2 linked regions of the Lonchura striata genome follow. The protein of the gene in region 2 interacts with the protein of the main gene of each other region in a biochemical or structural test. Links are inferred from orthologs where the notes say so. Each region holds a gene or a part of one and is shown on either strand. Other genes may lie near its edges.

Evidence for each region. The genes of interacting proteins can lie anywhere in the genome.
Region 1: the proteins of UBR5 (region 2) and PCK1 form a complex in vitro, tested with the Homo sapiens proteins (2 studies listed by BioGRID, with this or other methods). The link is inferred for Lonchura striata from reciprocal best matches to the Homo sapiens genes UBR5 and PCK1.

Annotation. Positions count from the first base shown.
Region 1 is NC_134619.1:3,044,843-3,055,658, reverse strand, and holds the start of PCK1 (phosphoenolpyruvate carboxykinase, cytosolic [GTP]), read right to left. Parts: upstream 5,372-10,816; 5' UTR 5,266-5,371; intron 4,978-5,265; 5' UTR 4,938-4,977; coding exon 4,714-4,937; intron 3,341-4,713; coding exon 3,159-3,340; intron 2,562-3,158; coding exon 2,358-2,561; intron 2,025-2,357; coding exon 1,837-2,024; intron 949-1,836; coding exon 786-948; intron 667-785; coding exon 442-666; intron 339-441; coding exon 207-338; intron 1-206. UniProt on the Homo sapiens protein: Cytosolic phosphoenolpyruvate carboxykinase that catalyzes the reversible decarboxylation and phosphorylation of oxaloacetate (OAA) and acts as the rate-limiting enzyme in gluconeogenesis.
Region 2 is NC_134603.1:20,946,530-20,956,895, forward strand, and holds the start of UBR5 (E3 ubiquitin-protein ligase UBR5), read left to right. Parts: upstream 1-6,235; 5' UTR 6,236-6,276; coding exon 6,277-6,338; intron 6,339-10,366. UniProt on the Homo sapiens protein: E3 ubiquitin-protein ligase involved in different protein quality control pathways in the cytoplasm and nucleus. Mainly acts as a ubiquitin chain elongator that extends pre-ubiquitinated substrates.

The sequences.
Region 1 (10,816 bases), on a different chromosome or scaffold from region 2:
TTGTGTTAACATCAAACTATTCAGACACTGAAACTCCAGTGGCTGGAAGCGTGTGTGCCAAAGGCTAACACAGAGACATTGGACTAACGTGGTTATTTCCTTGCTTTTGCAGCTGTGCAAGCAAAACCTGTGGCTATGGCCAGCTGTGTGTCAACCCTTCTGTGGCCAACACTTCAGCCTGGAAAGGTGGCTGCTGCATCTCTTACCAGCTGGTCTGCGGCCTCCAAAAATGATCCCTTCGATGGGAACGCCTTCGGGTGATTCCCACGCAGGATCCATGATGGGGCACTGCCTGGCTGGGGAGCAGAACCTGGAGTTGGGGTGAGCACAAGGTTCTCCTGCACAGAACACAGCATAAAGGTTATGACGGCAGAGTTAACTTGAATTTGTTCATTAATTTCAAAGAAAGCCAAAGAGAGGGCTGTTGTGTGGGTCAGGTACCGTTGTCTGGGGTCCAATCCTTGTTCTTCCACGAGGTCACTGTCACTCCAGCTGGCAGGGGCTCATCAATGCCTTCCCAGTAAACCCCTCCATCACTGGTTTCTGCCACGTTGGTAAAGATGGTGTTCTTGAATATGGTTTTAATAGCATTGGGGTTTGTTTTGACTGAAGTTCCAGGGGCGACACCAAAAAAGCCATTTTCAGGATTGATTGCCCTTAAGTTGCCTGGAAGTTAAATGATAAAATATAAGTAAACCATACTGATTTAATTTTATCCAGAAGTTTGTAGCACATCTTACTGCACCTACAGCAACCTGCAAAACATTCCAATTTAATTTCCATACCTTGTTCATCAAATTTCATCCAGGCAATATCGTCACCCACACACTCAACTTTCCATCCTGGCAGGCTTGGATTCATCATAGCCAAGTTAGTTTTTCCACATGCACTAGGGAATGCTGCAGCAAAGTACTTCTTTTTACCTTCTGGGTTGGTAATTCCCAGGATCTATAGAAAAATTAATGCAACTGTTAAACACAGTCTTTTTTTCTTGCACTTTTCATTTAGGAGATTGTCTCCCAGCAAGTGGAAATGATAAAATATTTAATTATGCACATTTGTTCCTACAGAAGAAGTACTGCATAATATTGTTGACAAATAACTCAAGCTGTATTTTTAAAATCAGAGTCAACTCATCTTGCCATTAGAATATCTCTAAGAAATTATTCTATTTTTTTTTAATGTTAGGTCTGCATATAATAAACATTTATTTTTATTTTGCTGATTTATTTTGCTATGTTTCTCTCTCAATACAGAAGAAAAGCAGGAAATATTATTTTGGCTGTATATGAGTGGAATGAAAGCACTTTGTGCATGGATACTCCTGCTCTTCTCAACAACCACAGATATTTTTTTTCTAAGGCTGTTCTCCCATGCCCTTTGAAATTCTTTGTTTCAGTAGTATTTTATGGTGGTAGAATGTTTAAAGGATAGCAGAAATTAAAGCCAGGAAGGTTACACAGCAGAACACCCTTAGAAAATCTGGTATTTGCAGGTTTTTGAGTGCATAGACCCCTTTATAATTTGGCCCAGTGATGATGTTCAGGCTCTGCTCAAGTACACAAAGCTGCCTATAAGAAGTCACCCTCAGAATTTCCAAACCTTGCTTGTTCTATGCCATGACAGGTCCTATTTTCAATGTTTAGTACTTGGCCTTGCAAGCAGTTTTCTGTTCCTCAGGAGCCTGGCATGTGGCAGATTCCTATCTAAAGTTACAGGACTATCCATATGAGACTAATTCCATTGATGGCCAGACGGGTGACGGATTTATGTGGCTCTAATTTGAGGTTTTAAAGGCTGTTCAAACACACAAGATTTAACAGCATAGATTTTTACCAGCATGTGCTCTGCGAGCCAGCCCTCCTCCTTGGCCAGTCTGCTGGCAATCCGGAGAGCAAAGCATTTCTTCCCCAGCAAGGAGTTTCCTCCGTAGCCGCTGCCAAAGGAAATGATCTCCCTGCGATCCGGGAGATGAGCAATCAGCGTCAGCTCCGGGTTGCACGGCCAGTTGTTGATTAATGGCTCTGCAGAACAGAATGTTGCAGTCATGAATGCAGCAATTTCCATGCTTGATCACGCTGTTGTTTCATCAGCATCGAGCTTCTGACAGCAACCCAGAGCATATGCTTCAAGGAAATCCCTGGTAAGTACTAGGGATAATGATCTCCTTTCCATCAAACTCTCACTGAGCTTTGATTCTTTTAACTGAGTTTTGAACCTAGTGCTGTTACAGAATCAGCCTAGTCTTCTGTGGTGAGGGTGTCCCACATGCAGAGGACATGCACTCATCTCCAAAACACAGCCCTGGGAATTTCCTGGGGTTTTTAATGGCTTCTGGGGTTTTTAATGGCTCTTACCTTTTAGCGGCAGAGGGCATCCAACTGAGTGAAGGCATTTTACAAACTCCCCACTGCCCAGGGCTTTCAAAACATCTGTTCCTATCCGTGTCATGATCCTCATGCTGGCCACTACGTAGGGTGAATCTGTCAGCTCGATCCCAATCTTGGACAAAGGTGACCCAATAGGCCCCATGCTGAAGGGGATGACATACATCGTACGTCCTGGAAAACAGGGAGTAGCAAGATGTGACTAAGAGCAAAACAAGGAACATTTGAAGTAACCTTTATAAACATGGAGGCTGTTTCTCAGTTATTTAAAAGCTGTTTGTCTTGTGAGATGATGTTTAAAGAGCTGCAGCTTTCTGTTTGTCTAATTGTGTAGCAAGAAGTTCTATCTTAAATGATGAAAGCAGCAGTTCAGACAGATTGTCTAGCCAGGAGTAAGGGGAGGTGAAGGCCAAGTTCCCTGTTAGTGTAAATCCCTGAACCTGGAATTATTGCTATGGATGGGAGGCCCTTCATCCTCATCTCACTTCTTATCTGCTCCTCACTTGCTGTGTGACTTCCTGAACCAAGTCACACGAATTTTTGTACTTTGTCACTTTAGGAAAACAAGAGTGCTGGAAAGAAACTGAGGACTTTCCTTGCCCAGGTATTTGGGTCTATGGGAAAGATCTGCATGAAACCTGTGGAGTGACTATTGGGGGCGTAAAGCTAAATCTTCAGCTCAAATTGTCCCTTAAAGATTACAGTAACTTGCAGCAGTAAGTGTCTCAGCATTGCTGAAAGTTCAGTGTCAATTATCTTCTTCTTGCCTACCTTGCATGCAGCCTGGGAACCTGGTGTTGAAGGCTTTCTCAAAATCTTCCTCAGACATCCAGCGCCCCAGTTGGCTTGCTCCAGTTTTAGGAATTGGAATGGTATCTCTCTGCTCTTGAGTGATGATGACAGTTTTGCTCTCAATTCTTGCCACATCTCTTGGATCAGTGAGAGCCAACCAGCTGCATTTCACCAAAAATCAGGAAATTAGACTTTTATTATCAATATAGCCTTTTTACCCTTCTGTGGGTCCACTTTAGCACAAAAAGCTACTAAAACAATGCTTTGTAAGACAAAAATTAGTGAAAAAGCAGTATAACAGATAATCTCAAAAATCAGTCAGATATATTATCTCAAAAAATTGCTTTAAGACTTTCCAGAAATCATAAAAAATTATATGGCCAAGGAAATTTTTGTTACATGTTTAATACTTCTTTGCTTCTTATCTCAGCCTTATTGTCTGTTGTTAACTTTCAGGGAAAAGTTAATCTTGTTTAATTTTCATTCTCATCAGTGTGAAGTTGTTTTGTATGGGGACCACAAAATGATGCTTCAAGCTAAGTGGATGCCAAGGAAAGTAGTTTAAGTGTTGGTATAAGTGCCAAAGGGATCAGAACCCAGCTTAGTGGATTGGCATAGTCCCTTAAATTAGAGGCATCACAAAGCAAATACTGAGTATAAGCACGATCATTAAAAGTGAAGGAGTTCATTAAAGGGGATTCTTTTTCCCCTCAGAGGAATTTTTTGCCATCTATTTACGATAGAGGGGATTGTTTTACATTTTCACCTCTCTGCATCGAAATTTTCCACGAGTATAAAAATGTTCTAGTTGTGCTGTCATAACCATCATCACTACAGCTAAGCATATAATTAACAATGAATAATTTATCTGGTGAATCTTGCCCTTTTCTCTCCCAAATAGTCTGCAAACAGATTGCCAAATTCCTGCACTTAGTTATTCAAAAGTCTTTGCAGATTTCTCCCATGAAGATCTCGTGGTTGGCAAGTAATTCTCGAGTATGCACTTGTTGTTAATATTCTCTTTTCATGTTCAGTTTGTTGGGAGAAATTATGAAATATTTGAAAAAAGTATTTGCAGAATACATTAGAGTCAAAGCTCATTGGCACGATATGAATAATGCCTGTACTGAATAATATTTGAACACCCACAGACCTATTTGAATGCCACAAAAAAGATGTGATGAATAAACTAATTGGCTAAAATAGTAGAATTCTTCAAAAGAAGATTTGCTCAATAATATTTAGCCATTGTTAATGATAAGTTGCGTAAGTCTCATGACATTATTCCAGTTCCCTGATGTAACTAATCAACAGAGAAAATGTACAGTTGATAGTCCAACTGAATAATATGCTTTATGCTAATTTTTAGAGGAAAAAGTTTGCTTTTCCTGAGTATTTCACTATGTAAGCAAAAGTTCCAAAATGTTCATGGAAAGCAAATATTGGAGAGTTATAAGAAGTTTTTTAAGTAAACAGGATAGAAAATGAATTTTCCAATTCTGAGATGATACTTGACTTCGTTTAGGCTACTCACCAGTTCTCATACTTTCTCAGCTTCTTGATCATGCCTTGTTGTACCATGATGTCCAGAAGTTTTCTGTTCTCTTCTTCTGAGCCATCACAGATGTGAATGCACTCAGGCTGGCACAGCTTGGCACTGGTCTCGATGAAATCCCTCGCTTCTGGAGGCAGACTCTCCCAATCCCCCTGGACAACCTTGGGCATGACGCTCATGTCAGTTTTCAACTGTGGGGGCATTATTGAAGCTGTTGTGGATCTCGTTGATGGCTGTAAAATACTGATCACAATCAAAAATCAAATAGATTAGGTGTGTTAGCTTACTGTACGAAATCAAATAATTAGGTGTGTTAGCTTACTGTACGTTCTAACCAGCATCACAAAGCCTAACAGCATATAACTCGAAGAATTTGCAATGGACTTGATTATGTACTGCTTTAAAATCAAGGTAGGGAATTTGCTAATTTCAACGTGGAAAAAATAGAGGCCATTCTACTAATTTAACATGGGAAAAATAGAGACCATTCTACTAATTTAACATGGGAAAAATAGAGGCCATTCTACTTACTGTCTATGGAAGCTGGAGCTGGATGCCAGAGAGAATTTTGCTGTAGCTTTCAGTTGAGCCCGTTTCGCTTGCTTTGGAGCTCTCTTGCAATTGCTGGTTCCAAGGATGGACCTCCTCCCTTAAATATTCTTCATGGTAGTGTCCATCCCACCAGTTGGGGTGAAGGAGGCTTGTCCTTTACATCATCACTGCATGTGTCTTGGGACAGTGCCACTGACATTGTCATCATGCAGAGTTGTCAACAAAGCAGCCCTGGCGGGGTAATCATTTAACAGGCTTGATTAATGAATGTTGAAAGCGGAGGTTCTTAGCCCCTGGATTTGCTGTTTTGAAGCACTTACAAAATTTAGCAGTTTAACCAAACTTTGATCCATTTTGGCTTTGAAATCAAAGACGTCATAACTTCTTGGTGTGTGTGGGAAAGGTTGAGTACAAAGAGTTTCTGGAACCAGGAACACGGAGGTCATGCACAGAGGCAAAGTACAGCTGGCACATTTTGTAGGCAGATGGTCACTAGCTGGCTGTGAAGTGGAGGCTCGTCCAAGAAGTGTTTACTCACATTGGGAACATTACCTGATCTGGGTATAAAGTTCATCAGTGAGCACCGACAGGCCTGAATAACCACTACATAGGGCCCACAGCTCTTATTTGTGTCTATGCAGTTCTAAAAAAATCCCTAGCAACATAAATCTAAGTGTTGGGGTTCCTTCAGTGCAGGCAAGGAAGTTTTTCTTTATGGCTTGTTTTAGGCTCTTGCAAACGGAACAGTTATTTCCTATTGCTACAACTGCAGAAGAGGCAGAACAGCAATAATTAACCTCCTCTTTCAAATATTGTGCTTTATTTTACCTGGAGTTTTATGGGGGGAAGTATCATAAAATATAAACCCATCCCTAAATTAGTACTCGGAGCAAAAACACAGACCTGCTGTGGAGTGGGGCTGCACACTGTTGTTCTGTGGGTGAAGGTGCACATACACAGAGCTGAGTCTGTATCTGTGTCAGTCGTGGCAGTATCTGATATCAACAGCCACTACTACTCATAATTCTGAATTCTCAGTGTGATATCAGACACTTGAGTGTGATCTCAGACACTTTGAGCTCTTGTCTCTGTTTCTGCAGGCCTGTCTTTAGCTTCCCCTATTCCATTTTAGACAATTGTTTGTCCATGCAGTCTGGGTGTGTGAAGACTGAAGTATTTCAGACAAACAGAACTGTAGAAATAACCCTGCTGCCATTTCCTCTCCTTCTATTTAGACCCAGGCTTAGCAAAGCATCTGGAGCCTGGATAAGGTGATGCTTTTGTGCCAACTTGTCACTTTTTTGTATTGATGGGGTTTTTACCATGCTTGTCATTGGTAGTTTGCAGAAGAGGGAAATCTGGGATTCCCAGCTAAGTTTAAGGAAGCTCTGAAAAGCAACAAAATTGACTTATCTTGTATAAAGGGTGTTCACAACGCTGCTGTTGCTCAGGTTTGTGAGGCAGTTGGATGTTCCCAGCAAGGTTCTTGATGGGGCAGCCAGCAGTGACTTACAACCCACAAAAGGCCAGGCTGGCAGAGCAGCAGGGATCAGGATTGTAGCTCACCTTCCCACCTGCAAGTCTAAAATACTGCAGATCTGACTCTCCTACTGCAGGGACATCCCCTGGGACTGTACCCTCTATCTTCCCTGCAAAGCCTTTTATTATGTTTTGTAAATAAGGGAAGAAAATAGTGAAGTAAGAGGGGCTGTCCTTGCTGCATGGCAAGACCAAACATTCCTGAAAAGGAAAACAAAAATCTGGTGGGATTAGAGCTGTTAAAGCCTGCTTCAGATAGGGCTGTGATATAAGCAAAGATAAAATCCAAAGCCAATTTAATAATGGCAAAGCTGGTGTTCGTCTTCAGAGTCCACATACTGTGTCACTGGTGGAGCTGATGAGAAATATTTTCCTTTTAAAACATGTCATAAAGTACCTTCATTAAAAATATAATGGAGCATTATCTTTAATAATACTAGGCAGAGCTCTTTTTTAGAGAAGTAAAAAAAAATGGAATGCTTTTTGCTGGCTAGGTAAGTCAGTGTACATATAAATAACTGAGAGTAAGCCAGCAATGCCCAGTTGTCAGGAAGACAGTAGAGCAGGAAATTATCATATTGCAGCACAAATAAAATCAGAAGAAAAGCTTACATACAACAGTGTAATACAGCAGAATTAGTCCTAGTGTCTCTAGGTTTTGAGAGAAGGAAAAAATTCCCAAACCCAGAGCATTAATTTCTGCCAATTAAATTACAGTCAGGCAGGTGTTGTGCAAATTTTCTAACACTGCAATCCTAACCTCCCACAATCTTGCTATACAAACTGTGGGCTTCTCTTGAGAAGACACTAAACATGCCAAATTGGTGGCACTGTGTTATGAACATATGTCCATTAAAAATCACATTAAGGATTCCAAATGTTTTTCATTTGTGATGGCAGCAGGGCTCGAGTACAGATGTCCACTGGGAATTCTAGACACTTCAGCATCAAATTACTTGTATTTAGGTAACACCTCCCATCAGAGGATCTCAAAGCATATCACAAACACACAGTAAGCCTCAAGCCCCTATATAAAACACACATAGTATTTGGTGCAATGAAATAACTGGAGCATATGCAAATCAAGGCCAGGATATTTTTTCAAGAATCTTCTCATTTAGCGATTCAGCTTTTCGAAAGCCAACAGAAGGCATTAAAGGTTTTATGTGAAGATAGTGAATTCTCATAACACCCACTGTTTCCCACATAAAAACCCAGATGTAGCACTTCCAATGGCTCAGTTACAGTGGTCTTGAGGTGTCACCCAGTACCAGTGGGTGCTGCTGTCTGGATTCAGTTTCTGGAAGATTTCACAAATGGCAAACGTGAGAGGTAGTATGGGGAAATGTAAAGCCTTTAAAAAAAGAGTTTACTTTAATGTAAAGTTTATTTTCCATTTAAATGAGAAGCCTTTTTTAGTAATAACTGCATTATAATGCTCATCTAATAGCTGATACGATTTCTTCTGATTGAACTTTTTTTGGCACTTTTTCTCTGTGCTTCTTGACACTTGAATGTGATGCTTATCAGGTGCCTTCTTGGAAGCTGTCAAATCATTTAAATGTGTGTGAATCTGACATTTCAAGATGACAGCGTTCAACAAGTGCCTTGAAAGGAGGGGGTTTAGGATGTTTGCTTTGATGGACACTATTCAGGTTGCTCAAAACAAGTTTTTGAGCACTTCAGGTTTCACATATTTACTAGGACTCAAAAAATGTAAAGGTTTTAAATGCTCAGAAAAAGTGTCATTAGGAAGCTTAACTCATCACTACAAAGCAAAGTGCAACAAAGCTCTCACAGTGAGATCTGAAAGTTGTTAATGGCATATAATAATACTCAGAAATTCTACTTCCCTCCCATTGCTAATTCTAGTACATATTGTCACCTCCAAGGAGTTTGTCACTTGGGTATTTTGCTATAAAATTGTAGGTTTTTTAAAGATTCTCTGAGCTGCTCTACTAACGGAAGAGCACTGCCTCTGGATTGCTATTTCTGTGGTGTTTTGCTCAGATGACACCGAGCACCCTCTGACAGCTGCTGGACTGGATGCCACAGAGTCCAGACCCAAGGGCAGCCCTTGCAATCTCAGAGAGAGCAGGGCAGGGATCATTCTCTCAACTTCCAAAAGAAAACGTGAACCGTGCAAATTGTCTGCAGTTGCAAAAGAGTCTGTGAGCGAGCCAAGTGCTTGTTCCAGACCCTGCGCAGCGCCGGGCGATATTTCCGCCCCACAGCCCCGCTCCTGCAGGCGGCTCTGAGGCACTGACCCACTGCAGTGGGCAGGGGGCCCTGGGCATTGACCCACTGCAGCGGGCTGGGGGCCCTGGGCACTGACCCACTGCAGGAGGGCTGGGAGCCCTGGGCACTGACCCACTGCAGTGGGCTGGGGGCCCTGGGCATTGACCCACTGCAGTGGGCTGGGGGCCCTGGGCATTGACCCACTGCAGGAGGGCTGGGGGCCCTGGGCACTGACCCACTGCAGTGGGCTGGGGGCCCTGGGCACTGACCCACTGCAGGAGGGCTGGGGGCCCTGGGCACTGACCCACTGCAGTGGGCTGAGGGCCCTGGGCATTGACCCACTGCAGTGGGCTGGGGGCCCTGGGCATTGACCCACTGCAGTGGGCTGGGGGCCCTGGGCACTGACCCACTGCAGGAGGGCTGGGGGCCCTGGGCATTGACCCACTGCAGTGGGCTGGGGGCCCTGGGCACTGACCCACTGCAGTGGGCTGGGGGCCCTGGGCACTGACCCACTGCAGGAGGGCTGGGGGCCCTGGGCACTGACCCACTGCAGCGGGCTGGGGGCCTGCTGCATGTGCTGTGCACTCTTCTCCACATGTGCTGTGCACTCTTCTCCACATGTGCTGTGCACCCTTCTTCACATGTGCTGTGCACTCTTCTCCACATGTGCTGTGCACTCTTCTTCACATGTGCTGTGCACCCTTCTCCACATGTGCTGTGCACCCTTCTTCACATGTGCTGTGCACTCTTCTCCACATGTGCTGTGCACTCTTCTCCACATGTGCTGTGCACCCTTCTCCACATGTGCTGTACACTCTTCTCCACATGTGCTGTGCACTCCACGTGTGCTGTGCACTCTTCTCCACATGTGCTGTGCACCCTTCTTCACATGTACTGTGCACTCTTCTCCACGTGTGCTGCGTGAACCGTGAGACCGAGCCCCTGCCACCAGCCACAACAGGTAGCAGCAAACTGGGGACACAGTGCTTCACCTCCTGCTCACCTCCGTTCCAGCCCTAACCCACACAGGATTGGGCAGATTGTAAGCTATGCTGTTTGTGGATCCCTACAAAATGTCATTTTTTTTGCACATGTTCAAAATGAAGTGGCTTGTTCTGATGGTGGAGGAGTGGGAAAAAATACACAGATTTATCACGATTAGACTGTACTTCCATTAACCTGCCCAACATTTTCAGCTTGACAACAGACATTTCTCAAAATACATGGAAGCAAATTTCAGCAGCCAGGAAGATGCACTGGTGCATTTTAAAGTCTCTAAACAAAGTCACCAACCTTTGATGCTTCATTTAGTAACAGCTCAAGTGCTCAATCCTGAGTTATATTTTAGGGAAAGTCCTGATTGTGACACAGTGCATGCCAAGGCTGACATTACACCATGGGCACACTGGTTTCTTGTTTGTTGTTCTTCTTTGGCAGATGAAATAGTTATTATTGTTATTATTATTACTTTATTTTTAAACTCACTTTTACAGGTTCAGCTCTGGAGATGGGATTGAGACATGTAATTTCAATTTTGATAAGCCGTCATCCCTCTAGAACTATTTCTTGAGGTGTGAATCTAATCTGGGGACTCTTCCTAAAGGAACATTGTCATAAAAAAAACCAAAAAAAAACCCCTGTCAAGTTTCAGTGTGACTATGTGAGTAATGGGCTCTGTAGCCACTGGTACCTGACCAGTGGCCAGGTATGTGTAATTCTGTTCACTTAGGAGCTCTTCTCATCTGCTTTAGGT
Region 2 (10,366 bases):
GCTGAAAGGTAAATCCTGGCCCCACTAGAGTCCATGGAATAATTCACTTGCTTTTGACCTGGAAGGTCTCAACTCCTTTCCCTACCAGAAACAAATTTACTCTGCAATAATTTCAGAAGGAAGTACCTGAATCAAGGCCACACAGAACTGTTGCTGTGAATGAATGTATTTCACCCACACATTTTATAATGATGACTTTTTTCAAAACTGCCGTCTTTGAAGGTAAATATGGTTAAGACAAGAGTAGCTAACCCAATCAAATGAAACTAATAGGGGACAAAAAACTAAACAAACCTTTTCTTGTCCTAGTTAATCACCTTGACAGCCTGCAGATAGATAAGAAGGCAACTCCCTAGGGAACCCTGAAAACCCCTCACCTTAAAGTTGCCACAGTTCAAACAAATTCTGTCTTTCCTTACCAGGAACTTAAAGGAAGCTGCTCTGATACAAAAGAACACAATTCTGGTTTACAGCTGCCTGCACAGGAACACTTGCCCAGGTGACACAAAGTCTCAGAGATAACACCACCAAGTACACTGTGCACGCCAGTTGTGCCCATGCCACCTTACAGGGACAGTCACACAAGAGGCTGCCCACAGCCTCCTCCTTCAGCTCCTGCACAGTGCCCAGGATGCCTCATGAGCTCCTCGTCACATTCAGCTGCATTTGTCACTGGACAGGTCTGGTCTACACATAAGGAAGTGATCATGTAAACTTTGTGGTGGGGCTTGGACAAGATGTCCTAGATGTCCAGTCAGAAGGAATAGATGTTCAGAAGTGTCTCTACAGGAGCTGGAAGAGAAAGATGCAAGTAAGGTGACAACCATGGTGAGATGCAATGTCAAATGAGTGTCAAAATCTCAGTCTACCAGCTACTGGTGGATCTACAAACTCCACCAAACACTGGGCAGATAGCTTACTTTGATCCCAGACATGTTGTGCCAACACCACTAAACAAAGAAAGCAAACCATACTGTAAAGGAAGGAGAAATAGATCATAGGTACCTTGCGTTACTTGGGTTGGAAAGGACATTAAAGAACATCTAGTTCCAACTTCCATGCCATGGGAAGAGATACTTTCCACTGGACCATGTTGCTCAAAGCCCCATGCAACCTTGAACGCTTCCAGGGATGAGACATCCACAGCTTCTTCAGGCAGTCTGCTCCAGTGCATCACCACCTTCACACTGAATAATTTCTACCTTATCTTTCATCTAAATCTGCCCTCTTCCAAAGTAAAGCCATTACTATGTGCCTTTGTAGAAAGTCCCTCTCCAGCTTTCTTGGAGGCTAAATTTCTTGCAGAATCCTAATTTCTGTCCCTTCACTGGGGCCCTTTGTTGCAGAGCTAAAAAGAGGAAATGCAGAGTAGATCAGACAAGGGAGGAGAAGGGAGATTACGCACCTCCATAATTGCCTGATTTTAAATAATGTATTTTAGTCCAGGCTGTGTGCCAAAGCTCACCATATTCACTTCTGAATATCTGAGTCTCAGCCAAATCTATGGTTTCAGAGGTTTCTGCTAGCTTAAGTGACCCAAGAATTCGAGAGGCAGCAGGAGAACCAGCTAAGTCCTCCTGCTAGGGGAAAGATAAAGATCAAAGCAGAGCTTCAGTAACTTTTTTAGTTGCTGAAGAATCACAGGGCAGAGAAAAATCATGTGTGCACTACTAGACATTGAAAAACCCATTGTAAGAAAAGTTCCATGGAAAATGAGTTTTCATCTGCTCTGCTATGAAAGTGTTACCTTGCTTCAGTCTGTGACACAAGGTGATGGAAACGTTGCCATGTACTTTGCTCTTCATTATATGAACTTCTTTTCAGCCTTGGGAACAATCTAGAAACTGCAGTTTTCTGCACAGCAATCTTGCCTGACATTTCTAGGAATGCTGGCCTCATTTCTTCCAGAGCAAAATACAATCTTACGGTGCCAGCCTGATGTCAGCTGTTGATATCTGGAGTTAACAGCATGGAAAGTGCACTCCGGAGCTCTCCTTCACTGCCTGAAGCCTTTAATTCCACTAGGGGCCTCTTCCCTGACTTCTGCACATCCCATCAGCCATTGGCCTGTGCTACACCTGCTGGCATCTGCTCCCACTGTTTACAGAGCAAAGTCCATTCCAGTCCTCTTACCCCAATCCTCCCATCTTTAGCAGGTCCCCTCCCCTCAGAATGAACAGACTCTGTGTAATCTGCCAGGCCTGCAGCTGCTGTGTAGCAAGCAGTTGGGAATAAATCTGTCCCAGTGCATGTTATTGAGAAGCTTTTTCTAATGTGAAAGTTCCTGATCCACTGGAACTGAACATCTGTGGAGCAGGAGGCTGGATAAGATGACCTCCAGAGATCCCTCTTTGGATCTCTGTGCTTCTACCAGTCTGAAAACTTCAAGAAACACTGACCCATCAAAACAGAATTTCAGATATGACAGCAGATATAACAGGAGTTATTTTGTATGGTATTTCCAAGTTGACAAAACTCTTGCACAGAAAATATATGAGCAAGAGACTTGTTCTGCAGGTTGGGTGTTGGTGTATTTATAGCTGCACCTTCATAAGGAAGCTGTTGCTTTACCTGTAGACCTGAAAATAGCACTATCTACACATGGAGGAGCTTTGCAACGTAGGCAGCCAAATTTCTTAGGCCAAGACATACAGTGTCGTCTTAAAGTTATATTTTGTAAAGAAAGATTTTTTCATGACTTGGCAAACATGAATTCAAAATATCATTTCAGTATTGGATGCTCACATCCAAGACTGGGGCAATTGAGAGAACACTTCAGACAAATCTTCTGTTTTGAAGTACTTAAAAAACACAGGTTGTAAGAATGAGTAGCTCTGCAATCAGAAAGCAATTCTATTTGAAGTCAACTTCAGATAATCAAAGGGCTAACATGCTGTAACCCCCCGTAATTATCTTCCAAAACCAATTGGCCAAAGCAGGCATTCAACGCTTGCCACTTCCTGGTAATGCAAAAGTCAACCAGTAAGATGCAGCCTCACATCCTTGAGCTGGAACTTCCTCCATATTCCAAACTCCTGTCAGAATAACATCATGGGTTGAGCACTTGGCTTTGTGTCCTCTCACCTATGTTTAGTTGCCATTTTAGGCAGCAGTGTAAACTCTTTGTGTGAACAAGAGCTGACATTTGCACTACTCAAGTTTATTCTGGCTCCGAATACAGTTCCAGTGGAATCTGTTTTAATTTTTAAAAAAATTTTGGTCATGCTGAGTGTTTGCATTGGCAAAGCCACAAGCAATGGCTAAAACCGGGGTTCAGACACAATGTAAATAAAGCTACAGAAAAGGATTGCTTGGAAATGGCCAGCCGCAGAATGCTGAGGCCTAACAGATGTGCACCCCCTTAGGGCTTTCCCAACTCCTTTCCTGTATCTATCCAGTTTCCATAACCCATTAACTTTTAAAGGCTGTGTGTTAATGGTGAAAGAGAGAGAGCAATGGAAATCTCTTCCTTATGCCCATCCCCTTGAAGAATTCCAATGAACAAATCATAGCATTTGGAAATGTAAATGCTTTGGAGAGCTACATCTTGAACAGAAAAGCAAACACAATTATCTGGAATTTCCCAAAACCTACCAAAAATTCTTGACAGTATTCAGAAGGGCTCCACAGGAATTCACGTGACCCATCTTCCTGCTGTTCAATGGAAAAAAGAAATGATGGCCAAAGGGAAATATTTTTCTTTTTTGCATGGGAAAAAAAAATCAAATGGAGAAGCAAGGCTTTTCAGGTGCTTATCAAAACATGCAATTGATTCTGATAAAATAACTGAGGTAAACACAGCTCACAAGAATCACTGTGATAAACACCACAAATACTTTCAGGGAAAGCATAAAGACTGATGCTGGGAAGAAAAAAGGCAGGAAAAAACCTAACAAACTTAGGTACAGTCAAACACAGAACTAAATAATAAATAAATGCTAAGCTCTGTTCTAACAGGAAAAAATGTAAAAACATAAACATGGATCTACTAGTTTTTAGAAGCACAGCTACTGCACTGTCTCACTACCAAACAGAAGGAGTCCTATTCCACGCCTCATAGATTTCCAGAAACCTGTTAGTATTTCCCTCCCAGGATAAGCTAAATTACTTATTTGTATTCTTGGAGGCATTTGAGTATCACTGCCACTTGAGAACAGAACATATGGAGAAACTTCATCTAAGAAATCTGGAATGCATCAATTGAGTATTTCTTCTCTTTATGACATTTCCTCATGTTAATGATAGTTGGGGAAAAAAAGCTTCATAAACTCCCCAAATCTCTGGGCAGCAAGCAGCTGCATCAGCCTATTCTTGGATTAGCTCCTTTCAGCTGAACTGGAAAAAGAGGCTAGGAAGAAAAGGGAGTGGAAGATGGGAAGTTACAAAGTTCCTTAAGGTCTGAAAGTGGGGAACAAACTGAGATTTTTAGTGTTTACGATTATACAGACTCAGAAATCAGTTCTAACTCACTGAACTAGGTTCTAAAAGTTTTTTGGCACTGCTATCATGTGATCACCATCATTTCTCACATGCTAAAAAATTCTGAGTCAGTTTTCAAAATTTCTGATTTCCCGAAAACAAGAAGAGCAGGCTGCAAAAGCAGTAAATTCCAGTTAAAAAAAAAAAAAAATCACCAAAATCAAAGCTTGGTACAATCCCTGCTAAGGTGTTTAGTTTCTATAGAAACAAATGGCTGTTTTATTGACTTTGCTACTCAACCTTCGGTACATTGACATGTTAATTTGTTAAAAACAGCTCCATTGGCAAGGTGTGGAACAATTCAATTGAATCCTGTCCAGAGGGAAGGCATGCCAGGCCAGAGGCACCGAGTTTCACAGCGTGGTACCTTTTTATTCTTCTATACCACCAACCTAATGGTTAGCCTAAAGAAGACTGAAAAGGGACCGCATCAAAGATATAAATATCTTAAAGGAATGTGTCAGGAAGATGTTGCCAGATGCCTTTTGCTGGTGCCTAGCGACAGGACGAGGACTAAAGGCCCTAAACTGAAATACAAGTTCCACCTCACCGTAAGGTAGAGCGGCTTTTATGCAGAGTGTCAGAGCACGGAAGAGGCTGCCCAGGGATGTCGCTCCCCCTCTGGAGGCATCCCAAACCCACCTGGACACGTTCCTGTGCCACCTGCTCCGGATGACCCTGCCCTGCCAGAGGGGCAGATCTGCACGATCTCCAGAGGTCCCTTCCAAACCTAATGATTCTGTGAACCTCCCTGAAAAGTGGTGAAAATTCCCGGCTTCTGAAGGGAAGACTTGACTAGAAATGCAACAAGAAACGCAACCGGAAAGGAGAGAGTCAGCACGGGCCGCCGAGAGCGGGTGCCGACGGGCGCTGGGCCTGAAGCACCTGCGGGCACTGGGGGAAATCCCTGCGCAGCCCCGGGGAGCGGCGCCCGGGGAGCGGCCCCGGGGAGCGGCCCCGGGAGCGGCGCCGGGAGCAGCCCCGGGGAGCGGAGCCCGGGAGCAGCCCCGGGAGCAGCCCCGGGGAGCGGAGCCCGGGAGCAGCCCCGGGAGCAGCCCCGGGAGCAGCGCCGGGGAGCGGCGCCGGGGAGCGGCGCCGGGGAGCAGCCCCGGGGAGCAGCGCCCGGGAGCAGCGCCCGGGAGCAGCGCCCGGGAGCAGCGCCCGGGAGCAGCCCCGGGAGCGGCGCCCTCCCGCCCCTCCGCGCTCCGGCCGGCGGCGCCGGCTCCGCTCCCGCCCCTCAGGGGCACCGCGCGCGCCGCCCGCCGGGAGCCGCCGGGGCTGGGGGAGGGGGGTGGCGGGGGGGGGAAGAGAGCCAGGGGCAGGCACGTGGTGCTTTACGTCCCTCTTGCGCAATGACGTCACCGCGGCCCGCCGCGAGGGCGGCGCGCCGGGCCAATCGGCGGCGCGCTTAGTGGCAGGGGAGGGAGCCGCGCGCGCCAGTCAGCACGAGGCTTGCACGCGCGCCGCCGCGCGCGCCGGTCGCGCCCCGCCCCTTCCCTGTCGCGGCGCACGGAGGGCGGGGGAGGGGCAGGGAGAAGGGCCCGCTGGAAGCCAAGATGGCGGCGCGTGCGTGAGCGCGGCGCGGGCCCAGCTCCGAGCGGCGCCGTTGCGGCCGTTCCGCCCCGCCCCGCGCCCGCAGCGCCGCGGCCGCCGAGAGCCCCAGACTCCGCCGGGCGGCCCCGAACCACCCCGGGGGAGGGACGGAGGCCGAGAGCCCCCTCCCCCGCCGCCCCCATTGTGTGCCCGGCCCCCGCCCGCCCGCCTCCCGCCGCCGCCGGGGGGGCACCGGCGCGGAACATGACCTCGATCCACTTCGTGGTGCACCCGCTGCCGGGCACCGAGGACCAGCTCAACGACCGGTGAGGGGGGGCGGAGGGGAGGGGCCCCCCGGGGACGAGGGGAGGGGCTCCGGGGCAGCGGGGCCGGCCCGACCCCCCCCGCCGGGCCGCGGTTCCGCCGGGTCCCGGCGCGCCCCGCTCCGAGCGGCCGCTCCCGGCAGCCGCCGCCGCCGCGGTTCGCCCCGCGCGGCGCCGGGGCCGCGACTTTCGCCGCGGGCCCGGCGGGGGCTCCGGCCGGCCACGGGAATCTCGGCATCCGGCCGAGGAACGGGGCTGCCGGCGCTCCCTGGCCGAGGAAGCGGGTTCCCGGGGATCCCCGGCCGAGGAGCGAGAACGCGTCCATATTAACCAGGGATGGAGCGAGGCAGACAATGCGGATGGGGGATCGCGGCGTGTGAGAGAATGACGGGAGCGGGGATAAAGGCGGCAGCGCTGTCACACGCAGCGCCGGTGTGCGCTGCCTTCCCCTGCTCACGCACCGGGTGTTCGATACAAAAGGAAGCCCGATCTCCAAATCACTGATGTTGTGCGGCTTGGCGGAGATGGGGATGACAGCTGCCAGCCTGGAAACCACGCAGCTAACTTTATGTAGGATTGGGGGAGAGAAATTGCAGGCTGGGGAGAAACTGGAGTGCTTTGAGAGAAAATGAATCCATGAAACAAATTTTCCTCGCTGCTTGACGTTTATTTGACAGCTCTGTGTGGCTGTCAAATATTTCTTCTATAGCAATTGTTAATGGTATGTGTAATAGCTTGCAAATTTTACTTCTGCTCTTTTATAGAGGAATTCTTAAAAACTTCATGTTTAATTTCTCACAAATTTATGTGTGAATAAATCGTGATCTTTAATCATCGCTAGATAGAAACCTAAAGTGTTTTTACACTAAATACGAATGTTATTTAATGATTCTAAACAATATTTAAGTATTTTTAAGTCTTAAAAAGCATAAGCTCTTGCTTATACTCTCCTGGCTTTGATAGTACCAGTAGGTCAGGGTCCAGGTCATTCCACAGTTCTTTGTAGTTAGGCCACTTCTCCAAGAACAGTCTTTGCTGAGATGCCTTTTGGAGCAGGTGAGGTTTGAGCGTGTATAATAAGGAAAATAGGTAGTTTTGAAGGCAGAATTTCTGCCTAACTACATAGCCAATATGTTTATACAGGGAAAAGAAAAGATAAAACAGATCCAAAACCTGAAGTGTGTTACTGTGGACTGTATTTTTTTCCATAGCCTGATAATGCATTTTACAGAATCCTGCTTCCTAGGAGGCCTAGCCATTCCTACAGAATTGATTTGCTTTCTCCATAGGTACTGCATTCAAATTTGGCATAGACCATCTTCCTTTAGAGTGACAAACTGAGAGATGATGCTGTTCTGTGACTTATTGCTTGCACTCTTTTGGTTTGGAGTAAGATCTAGGCCTTCGAGCTTGAAAAGACCCCAGTGGGTTTTCTTTTTTTTTTTCTTTTTATATTGGTTGGCCCTTAGAAAACATTTAGCATGTAATTATCACACTTTGCTCCAAGTGAGAGAGCTCATCTGTTTTTTCTTTAATGTTACCTCTTCTGTTGACACATTGATATAAAATGTGAGTCCCTTTCAGTCTTCATAATGCTTTCTCGGTTTTTAAATTTTTTTTTTCTTCTTAACACAGCAGCAGCTTCTACACCTACTTTTTGATACATGAACCTTCCAAATATGTGGTAATTAATATATGGAGAAAGCTGCAGCAGTGCTGTTAAGTAGTGACTGTTCTGAAAAATCAAGTGACTCCTTGATCTGAGCTGCAAGTCAGAAATTTTGGCTTCATAAATGTAATTTTACTAAAAGGGCAGTAGCTATGTATCAGAACTTGTAATGCAGTGAAATCAGAATGATTCATAAATAGAGTTGAGGCACACACATATGTGCTGGAAATGCCAGTTCAATTTTATCAGTAGCATTGCTGCATATTTCTATTCTGTCAATGTTGATAAAGATCTAGATGGCTTAATAAATTCTCATACACATACTCATAGAAGTTAGGATCTTGGAACGTCTCGTGTCTCTGTGATGTTTCTTTTCTCTCTCACTTTATAAGCTTTTTTGAGTCTGGGTCAGTGGTCAGTCAAGTTTTTTTTCTGTCTGTATTCTGAATGATAGTTGTTTCTCAAAATTAGATTTTGGGATCATACTTCTGTATTGTATGCTTTCAATAATGGATTTGTGTTTTTCATCTAAGGAGTAATCACTTAAAACCCAATGAATTTATTGTCGCAATCCCTGTGTGTTCAGAGTACAGGACACTGTTGAATTTTGTAACCAAGTATTTGATACATTATGCTTAATAACCTAGATAATAGTCTAGATGTGTAAAGGCAGTGGTTTTTGGAAACCATCTTTCTCCTGAAGTATTGCTGTGCTCTTAAGTAGTTGAAAAAATGTGAGGAAGTAGTTTTTTCCAGTTTGGTTTGGTGCGTTTTCTGTCATTTTGTTCTACAGTTTTTGTTAGGTTTTCTGTGTAATTTGTTGTCACACTTATTCATGCAGCAGCTGTGAGAATGGCAAAACACTTCAAAGAAAAGAGGAGATAGTAACTGTAGAACCACAAATAATCGGAGGACTCCTGAGCATATCTGCTGATCATCTGAAAATTCTTCTTAGCTAGTGTTTTTGAAAATGTAGGTTAATATTGCACCTTGATGGTAGTTATTAGTCCTCTCTAAAATAAGCTGAAACAGTGTTGACTTCTTCACTCAGAGGTCTGGAGCTGATGACACTGAAGAGAGTTCACAGAGGACAAGGTCATACTTAATTTTGTAGTTGTATTAGGATTCATCTTTTGAAATGGATACTAGCCTAAGCTTTTGTTTAGGATGAACTGAGGTAATTAAGGTTTTTCTGGCAGGTTTATTAAGGAAGACAGGTAACTTGGAATTTTTTCCCCAAGCAATTTGTTGTCTGCAAACTGAATATGAGGAGTTTAATGGAAGAAAAATTCTGTATGGCCTGCAGTTTGAGAAACAACTCTATAGAGTATTTGGGATGTAAATAATTAATGGCTTTAATATTTGAAAAAGAGATATCCAGCCTCTGTTGCATTGGGTGTTAGGTATATTTTGTAGCTTATCCGCCTCTTTCAGGGTGGGAGACTTTGTGCTTTGTGAAGGAAGTTTGACACAGTTTCATAGATAAATTAATCTTAGTAAATACTTAGTATATTTCTTAATTTTTTATTGGGTTAGGAAGTGGGTGTAACCATGACAAATAGCCTTTTCTTGACTGTTATGAAACCTCACAGGAGCAGTTTAACTTGCTGCTCTGGGAAGGAGAAGGGGACTCTTTCACCTTACACAAATGACTTTCCATACATGAACTGACCTTCAGAGACAGGATTAATCTCAAACCTTTGACTTTGTTTTTACCTTATACTAAGAAAATTCTTGTCAGTTAGACCATTTAAGTCCTAGCATAGAGTAAGATGTAATTTTTGAAGTGGTCATTGATACAGTGTTAGTGTGGTCTTTTCTTTCTTCCTGGAGATGAGATGTAATGAATTTGGTTAAATAGAGTGTGGATATTTTGAATATGAGGGTTTAGAAGTGTCATGTAGTAAGTTTTCTGGCAGTGACATCTTTGAAATCAGTAGCACACCTGAGAAAAGTTAATTTGAAGCTTCAGTGAGTCTGTATGTAGTCAGCTTTGGGGGAAGAAAGGATGATCTCGTTTTTTACATGACTTTGTTTTCTCTTAGTAATACATTCAGTGCCTGTCTCTGTTATTTGAATGCTACTTACTTTATGCCGTGCCTGAACTGAAAATTTAAGTTGTGTACTTTGCATTGCCTGCATTGTTAGCACTCTCTGAATTTGTGTGGAAAAAATTGCTAGCAAGAACATACCTTTTTAATCTGCACATCAATTTAAGGTGCTGTGCAAGTGATCTGTGGATATGTGGCTGCTGCTCTGGCAAACGCCACCCCCCCTTGCACTTACTGATGAGCAAATCTGTTAAAAATCTCAAGCAGATGTTGCTGGAAGGAGCTGCTGTAGGGTGTGGTGTGGCTGTGCA